Ovis aries: one gene and its partner. The protein of the gene in region 2 interacts with the protein of the main gene of each other region in a pairwise test. Links are inferred from orthologs where the notes say so. Each region holds a gene or a part of one and is shown on either strand. Other genes may lie near its edges.

What was found. The genes of interacting proteins can lie anywhere in the genome.
Region 1: the proteins of TROAP (region 2) and DYRK1B interact in binary tests that used the Homo sapiens proteins (3 or more experiments, as listed by UniProt). The link is inferred for Ovis aries from reciprocal best matches to the Homo sapiens genes TROAP and DYRK1B.

The regions. Positions count from the first base shown.
Region 1 is NC_056067.1:48,786,209-48,789,851, reverse strand, and holds part of DYRK1B (dual specificity tyrosine-phosphorylation-regulated kinase 1B), read left to right. Parts: coding exon 1-72; intron 73-437; coding exon 438-585; intron 586-1,473; coding exon 1,474-1,760; intron 1,761-2,443; coding exon 2,444-2,590; intron 2,591-2,676; coding exon 2,677-2,817; intron 2,818-3,106; coding exon 3,107-3,422; intron 3,423-3,643.
Region 2 is NC_056056.1:136,911,927-136,916,192, reverse strand, and holds the start of TROAP (tastin), read left to right. Parts: upstream 1-1,372; 5' UTR 1,373-1,573; coding exon 1,574-1,631; intron 1,632-1,710; coding exon 1,711-1,865; intron 1,866-1,957; coding exon 1,958-2,144; intron 2,145-2,822; coding exon 2,823-2,980; intron 2,981-3,069; coding exon 3,070-3,207; intron 3,208-3,399; coding exon 3,400-3,482; intron 3,483-3,960; coding exon 3,961-4,013; intron 4,014-4,266. UniProt on the Homo sapiens protein: Could be involved with bystin and trophinin in a cell adhesion molecule complex that mediates an initial attachment of the blastocyst to uterine epithelial cells at the time of the embryo implantation.

The DNA.
Region 1 (3,643 bases), on a different chromosome or scaffold from region 2:
GTGCGCAGCGGCGAGCGCTGGCTGGAGCGCTATGAGATTGACTCGCTCATTGGCAAAGGCTCCTTTGGCCAGGTGCGGGATGCCCCTCACCCGACCCTGATCTAGGGGTTGGGAGGTACGGGCGCCCCCTGGTATTGACCCACACAGCCAGTGGGTTCGGTGGCTTCGAGCTCCGTGCTGGGCCTTGTCCCAGCGCAGTCAGTTGATTACTTGTGCCTCAGTTTCCTTTTCTATAAAATAGTGCAAACAACAGGACTCCCCACATAAGGCTGTGTCCCATGTTTACACTAGTGTCTGACTGTGGGTGACTCCAGTTTTGAATGAGTAGTATTACAGATGGCGATACCGGTGGGTGTCCTTGCTGGAGAGAGGGGTAGTCCTTGGCTCTGTTCCCTGTGCCCCCATTCCCTCACTTTGTGACCGGCCGGTGATCACAGGTGGTGAAGGCCTATGACCATCAGACCCAGGAGCTGGTGGCCATTAAGATCATCAAGAACAAAAAAGCCTTCCTGAACCAGGCCCAGATTGAGCTGCGGCTGCTGGAGCTGATGAACCAGCACGACACAGAGATGAAGTACTACATAGGTGAGGCCTGGGGCAGGGCTGCTCGGGATGGGCCCCCCCCCCCCCCACCTCGGTTCGGCCAGGGGCTGGGGTCTTCAGGGCAGGCTTGCCACTTTCACAGTATCCTGTTCACATGAGAATGCTGGTCAGTTTATTGACCAGCTCCCTAAGGGGTCAGGTGCTATTGTAAGAACTTTACACACATTATTAACTGTTGAACCGTCATCACAGATTACCCACAGTCTGGAAATGAAAAAACAGAGGCAGTCAGGTGCCATCACTTGCAGCAGGTCACGACGTTTGCACTCAGCAGTGCTATCACTTGACCAGGCAGTGACCTCCAGAGCCTTTACTCTGTGAGCACCTTTGTCCTCTTTGCTGTACTGATTCCTCTTAGAAAAATCAAGTAGATTGAAGGAGTGTGTTTCTTTTAAAGGGAAGATACACATCTTTACGGTAAATGGACAGCGATTTCCCCTTGTCACAAAAATAAACAGAACTGAGACTAAAAAGTGTTGTAAAATGAAATGAAGTGTAGGACGGTGTTAAAAACCCATCAGCACCAAATAGAAACTTTATCTTTGGTTTAATCACAAAGTCTGACAGATTTGTAAAGAGGTTAACTTCCTGTAAATGAAATTGTGGACATAGGAAAACGTTCTCATTAATAGAGAATCCCATGGTCGGAGGAGCCTGGTGGGCTATAGTCCACAGGGTCGCAAAGAGTGGGACACGACTGAAGCGACTTAGCACGCATGCACCCCGCACGCAGAGCACACTCCAGTTTGGTCTATGCTCGAGAAGCAGACACAGATCCAATGCCAGCCTCTCTCTGTGACTGTGGGCCGCTGGCCCTCGCAGAGCCTCAGTTTCTTCTTGCTCGGCCCGTTCCCGCCCCCTTCCCGGCAGTGCACCTGAAGCGGCACTTCATGTTCCGGAACCACCTGTGCCTGGTGTTCGAGCTGCTCTCCTACAACCTGTACGACCTCCTGCGCAACACGCACTTCCGCGGCGTCTCCCTCAACCTGACGCGGAAGCTGGCGCAGCAGCTCTGCACGGCGCTGCTCTTCCTGGCCACGCCCGAGCTCAGCATCATTCACTGCGACCTCAAGCCCGAGAACATCCTGCTCTGCAACCCCAAGCGCAGCGCCATCAAGATCGTGGACTTCGGCAGCTCCTGCCAGCTCGGCCAGCGGGTGCGGCCCGGCCCCGGGGGCAGGGCTCGGTTTGGGTGTGGCTCGGCTGTGGGCGGGGCCGACTGGCGGCCTGGGTCCGCGGGGCGAGGCCAGGCGGGGATAGCCTTGTCACGTGCAGCCTGATACCTGAGCTACGGTGCTTGGGATGGGGCCAAGAGGGAGGGCCACCGGGTTTACTGCCCAAAGGAGAAGGGAGAGCGGAGCCTGAGGGAACAGGGCCAGTTTTGAGACTGCCAGATTGGAGAGGGGGTGGGGCAGAGGGGTAGTTGGGTGGCTGTGAGCCTGAAAGGCTGTGGCGCTTTGCAAAGTTTTGCTTACCCTGTGCTCTTAAAGCTGGGGATGGAAGGGGCGAGGCTCTTCAACTTTGCTGCTAAGATGATGCTGGTAGTGGCTTGAAAAGGGTCTAGTTTGGGAGGGTGGGAAGGGCCTAGGTTTGCCGGCTGCCAGCCCGTGGTGACTTAGAGGGGCTCAGGACCAGACTAGGCCAGCAGAGAGCCCTGAAGCCGATGAGTACGATAGTGGTGGTGATTCCAGGAAGCTGGTGCTGATAACATGAGGGTTTGGCGCCCCCTGTCCCAAGTGTTGGGGGCAGGAGGCTTGACCTCAGTCGGCCCTCCTAACTTTGGGGCTGTTCTCATAGCAGAGGCTGGGACCTCTGATGGTTGCCCTCTCCCCTCCTCCAGATCTACCAGTACATCCAGAGCCGTTTCTACCGTTCGCCCGAGGTGCTCCTGGGCACTCCCTACGACCTGGCCATTGACATGTGGTCCCTGGGCTGCATCCTGGTGGAGATGCACACTGGAGAGCCCCTCTTCAGTGGCTCCAATGAGGTGTGCTCCCGAGGAGGGGGTGTGCTCCCGAGGAGGGGGAGGAGGCCCGGCCGGCCCAGTGACCCTGACGGCCCGCCTGCTCTCAGGTGGACCAGATGAACCGGATCGTGGAGGTGCTGGGCATCCCGCCAGCCCCCATGCTGGACCAGGCGCCCAAGGCTCGAAAGTACTTTGAGCGGCTGCCTGGGGGCGGCTGGACCCTACGAAGGACAAAGGAACTCAGGAAGGTGCGGCCCCTGCCCCCATGCCGCTCCTCCTACCCCGGCGGCCCCTCACTCTCTCACACTTGGGGCTCCCTCCTCCGTCTCCCCGCTTCCTCTCCCTGTGTCTTTCCCTGTCTGTCCTTTCCTTCCTCCCCCGCCCACCCCCTCTCGCCTCCTACCCACCGCACAGCTCTTCTTAGCTTCTCTCTTTCCACTTTCTCTCTCGTGCCTCTGTTTCCCCGTGTGTGTCTCCCTGCCCCTCCTGCCCACTGACGGCCACTCTCTTGCCCCCCCTCCCACCTCCCCCTGCCAGGATTACCAGGGCCCCGGGACACGGCGGCTGCAGGAGGTGCTGGGCGTGCAGACGGGCGGGCCCGGGGGCCGGCGGGCGGGGGAGCCGGGCCACAGCCCCGCCGACTACCTCCGCTTCCAGGACCTGGTGCTGCGCATGCTGGAGTATGAGCCCGCCGCCCGCATCAGCCCGCTGGGGGCGCTGCAGCACGGCTTTTTCCGCCGCAGGGCTGATGAGGCCACCAACACGGGCCCGGCGGGCAGCAGTGCCTCCACCTCGCCCGCACCCCTCGACACCTGCCCCTCCTCCAGCACCGCCAGCTCCATCTCCAGCTCCGGTGGGTGCTCAGTGCCGGACGAGGGGTCGGGTAGCTCTGATCGGGCCGTGTGGGGCGTGGGGGTGGGGGTGGGGAATAGCTTTGTCACTGGCCCTTGGCCTAGAGCTTTGAAACTATGAGATCCTGAACTCAACAGTGGGTGGAACAGGGGAGCGCAGACGATCCCTGAGCGTCTCTCTGAACCTGAGCTCAGATCTCTAGAACTTGTTTTGACTCTTTGA
Region 2 (4,266 bases):
CTGAGGTTTATTGATTATTGGCTAATTGACTGTTTGAGCACATGAGCACATAGCACGTGAATCATGGGGTTATTGGGATTGTATTTTCTTTAGTTTACGTAAGTCTCAAGGAATTTGGGTGATGGGTTCAGATACGTACACATGGGGTATAAAAGATTTTCACAAATGCTGGTCGGTGTCCTTGGCTAAGAGGAGACTCTGCCTTGGGCCCGCCGGTGTAATTAACGGCACTCCACTATCTGCATTGTCCTTCTGAGTGAGTTTGTTTCCTGGAACACGTGGCTACAACAATGTGGAACAAATGTGTAAGGATCTTGTCTTTTTTTTCCTCTTGCATTGTTTCAAAAACAGTAACAGACTGGAGTCAGGCTGTTGTTGTTTAGTCACTAAGTCCTATGCGACTCTTAGTGACCCAAAGGACTGTAGCCCACGAGCCTCCTCTGTCCATGGAATTATCCAGGCAGGAATATTGCAGTAGGTTGCCATTTCCTTCTCCACGGTGTAAGGTAGCCCAGCAGTTGGGTCCATTGTCTTTCATGAATTGTACTGTGGCCTCCTTTCTGTAGTATAAGAAAAAAGGAGAGAGAGAGAGAACTACAAGGGGGGCTCTGCAAAGACTGCTGTAAAGGTGAGCACTAAACACAGGATGTGATTAGCATTGAGTTAGAATGTAACTAACAGAAGCTACAGGTACACAATGTAGCTCATTTAGAGTTTAAAGGAGATACATATAGAATGTAGCTTACATATCAAGTTAGCCTTGATTACCGACTACAGATCCGGAAGTTAGAGTAAAAAAAAAAAGAACTCAGAAAAGGACAAGAGAAAAAGGAAAACTTTTTTCTCTTTTTCACTGTAACCTTTCATTTTTGTTATTGTTAGTTCAATTTTCTCCAGACCTCTCCGCCCGTTTGGAGGCAGCTCCTCGACCCAGGCAGACTTTTCCCACAAAGCGTCTGGACAGGGTCCCCAAAACTTGACGGCCTAACTCTGATCAGAGCTGAGTCAGGGGCTGGGGCCAGCCTCCAACACCGTCAGCTTGCCTCACTCAGGACGCAAGCCCTTCCACAAGGCCGACTGGACCTTCCCGCACCAGTCCCGAGACCTCGCGAGAGTTCGCCAGCGCCCGTTGTTGCCCAGACTCAGAGCAGACGCCTTCCTGGACCTCAGAACTGTCTCCTCTTTCCTCTTCCACCCCGCGCTCGGCTTTCCGATTGGCTGGTTGAGTCGGGTCATTTTTTTTTCCTGGCCAGAAAGCGGCTCGGCAACTAGTCCTTCTTTTGGCCCCGCCTCCGAAGCCTGTAGATTGGATAGCTGAATCCTGCGTCACGCGCCTCCGCGGGAGCGCAGACGAGCCAATCAGGAGCTTGGCGTATTTTACAAACTGGGGAAGTACCTGGAGCAGAGGCCGAGAGAGTCCCGGGAAAAAGCGAAGAAAGTGGGCGAGACCCTGAGGGGTTCAGGGGGAGGTGCGGCACGGAGATCTTGGAGGGAATGAGGGCTGCCGGGGCTCGTAGGGAAGAGAGGCAGTTCGGGGTCCCGGGACGAAAGTGTAGGCTCATAGTGTCAGGAGATGACCGAGAAGCGCCCTTGTAGGCGGCGGGTCTTCTGGCGCGTGGATTTGGGCGGAGGTAGGAGTATCTGGAATGTCAGGACCGAAACCTCGAACTGGCTGACCTTTGATCCCTGATCCTTTTTTCTCCTTTTCAGGAGTAGTCGTCATGACCACCCTCCAAGCCACGAAGGATCCTCTCCTCCGGGGTGTATCTCCCACTCCTAGCAAGATTCCCATTCGCTCTCAGAGACGCCCACCTCTCCCCACAGTCAAACCCAGCGCCCTGGACCAGGAGAACCAAGATCCAAAGGTAAGAGGAGCCTGGGGGAGTGAAGACAGTAGCTACAAGGAAGCAGCAATGCACCTCAACGCTGAGCTCAGCTTTTTTCTCCCCTATCCTAGAGATTGGGGCAGAAGCTCAATATTCAGCGCCCCCTCGCAGACTCAGCAGGCCCCAGGCTGAAAGCCACACGTCAGACAGAGCAATCTGAGAAATTGCTGGGGAGCACTCAGCTCCGGAACCCCTTGGAGGAGCTCAGGCCTAGCCATGGGGATCAAAATGTGGGCCCTAGGCCACCTCCCCAGACAGGTATCTATTGGAGGCTGTAGAACTGGGTGGGAGAATGGGTTGGTGCAGTGGGGTTTGGGGGCTTTGTAATCCTGCCTCTCCTGCTTACTATAATTCCTAGTCCCTGCTCCTAGAAAGCTCTTTGCTGTTAGAGGCCCTTTCTTTTCTTCAGCAATGTGTCATCACTTCTAAAGCCTTTTCTGGCTCCTCTAGTCACTATCAATTGCTCTTTGTTCTAATGATTTGCTGAACTTTATTTACTTGTTTGTTTATTCATTCATTTATCCATTAATTAATGCATTCATTTATTAGATGCAATTTATGGGATCTTGGTTTCTGGACCAAGGATTGAACCTGGGCCAAGGCAGTGAAAGCACCAAGTCCTAATCAGTGTACCGCCCGGGAATTCCCTGCACTTCTTTTATAATATGTCCATACTTTGACTTGAATCTGTTACCTTGCTCTAGTTTGATGTTAGCTTCCTGAGGATGGGGGCTTTGTCGTATTCATCTCTGGGTGGCAGTGTCTAGAATAGTGTCTTATGCAGATTAAAGTCCTGTGAATGTTTGTTGAGCTGAGTTCAGTTATATGAGTCTCTTTGGCTCATGCACCTCAAGGTGACAATGCTAGGCTCCCCAACCCCTCAGCCTCCCCTCCTTCCTGTCCCTCCTCGCCTTTCCTTTTCTTCTTCCCTTGCAGAGGCTCCAGGGACCGTAGAGTTTGTGGCTGACCCTGCAGCCCTGGCCACCATCCTGTCAGGTGAGGGGGTGAAGAGCTGTCGCCTGGGGCGCCAGCCCAGTCTGGCTCAGAGAGTACTTGTTCGAGGGAGCCAGGGAGGCACCATCCGGAGGGGTCAGGTAATGAGCCGGGATAGGAGGAGATCAGGCTGGGGTAGGCTGAGGAGGGAATCCTGAGTCTGTACTGAGAGTCTTTTTTGGGGTCCCAGGATGCCCGGGCCTCTGCATATTTGGCCCCCAGAACCCCTACCCATCGACTGGACCCTGTCAGGGCTTCCTGCTTCTCAAGGCTGGAGGGACCAGGGCCTAGAGGTCGGACCTTGTGTCCCCAGAGGTTGCAGGCTCTGGTGAGTGTTCTTGAGGGGCTGATACTAGGTGCTCCTGGGGACTCCTTCTAAGGACACAGCTGGGCCTTGGGATGGAGGGTACCGCCTGGTAAGCAGAGGGGTTGTATGGAGGCTGATGGGGTTGGTGGTGAAACCTGAAGGTTTGGAGCCTGCTTCTGACTCTCCTTTTTCTCTTGCTCCTGTGTGGCTCAGATTCCACCTTCAGGATCATCCTCTCACCCCTCCGCTCCTCCCTGTTTCCAGGAACTAAGAAGAGAGACCAGTGGCAGCAGCAAGTAAGGAGGGGGTCATTTGGAAAAGAGTGCTTCAGTGTCTGTACAGGGGTCCCTCAGGGCTGGGCCCTCTGGTAGCTTTAGGACTTCCCACCAGCCTGGGGGCGGGGAGAGGGGAAAATCTGTGAATGCCCAGGGTGAACCCTTGCAGTAAAGTTCAGCCTCAATATGGCATCAGTTTCTTCAGGTTGTGAGGGATGGAAGGGGAAAGAAATGAGAGGTACCATCCCTTGTGTAGTGGCTCGAGCTTAGATTGTGGGAACAAATGGGGTTTGGGTTTGATTCCTGACTCTCAGCACTTACAAGTTGTTCAAGCTTGCCGTACCTGCCAAGCTTTAGTTTCTTTAGTCTGTCAAATGAGGACAATGTTTGTATCATCATTTGAAGTTGTTGTGAGAATTAGATGTTTGTAAAGCACTTTGCATGGTGCCCAGCTCATATGTGGTGCTCAGTGACTGCTTGCCACTGTCCTTGTCCTCAGGACTTCAGTGAGCCAGCCCTCAGGATCCCTTCCGGAGACCTCTGTGGAGCCTGGTGAGTGTGTCTGGCCATGGAGAGAGAACGTTAGCTGGGAGCCTGCTTGTAGGGAGCAAACCGAGAGAAAGCTCGGGAGGGCTGTGGCAGGAAGGCCAGATCAGGAGGAGGAAGAGACCTTCTTCATAGGCCAGAGGTTTGCCCGGTTGCACTTGTGTCAGAGGAGGTAGTCCCCGTTTGTATCCTCTCTCTGCCACTTCCTGCAAGATTTACTTTTGACTCACTGTCCTATCGTCAGCCCTTCAGAGCCATT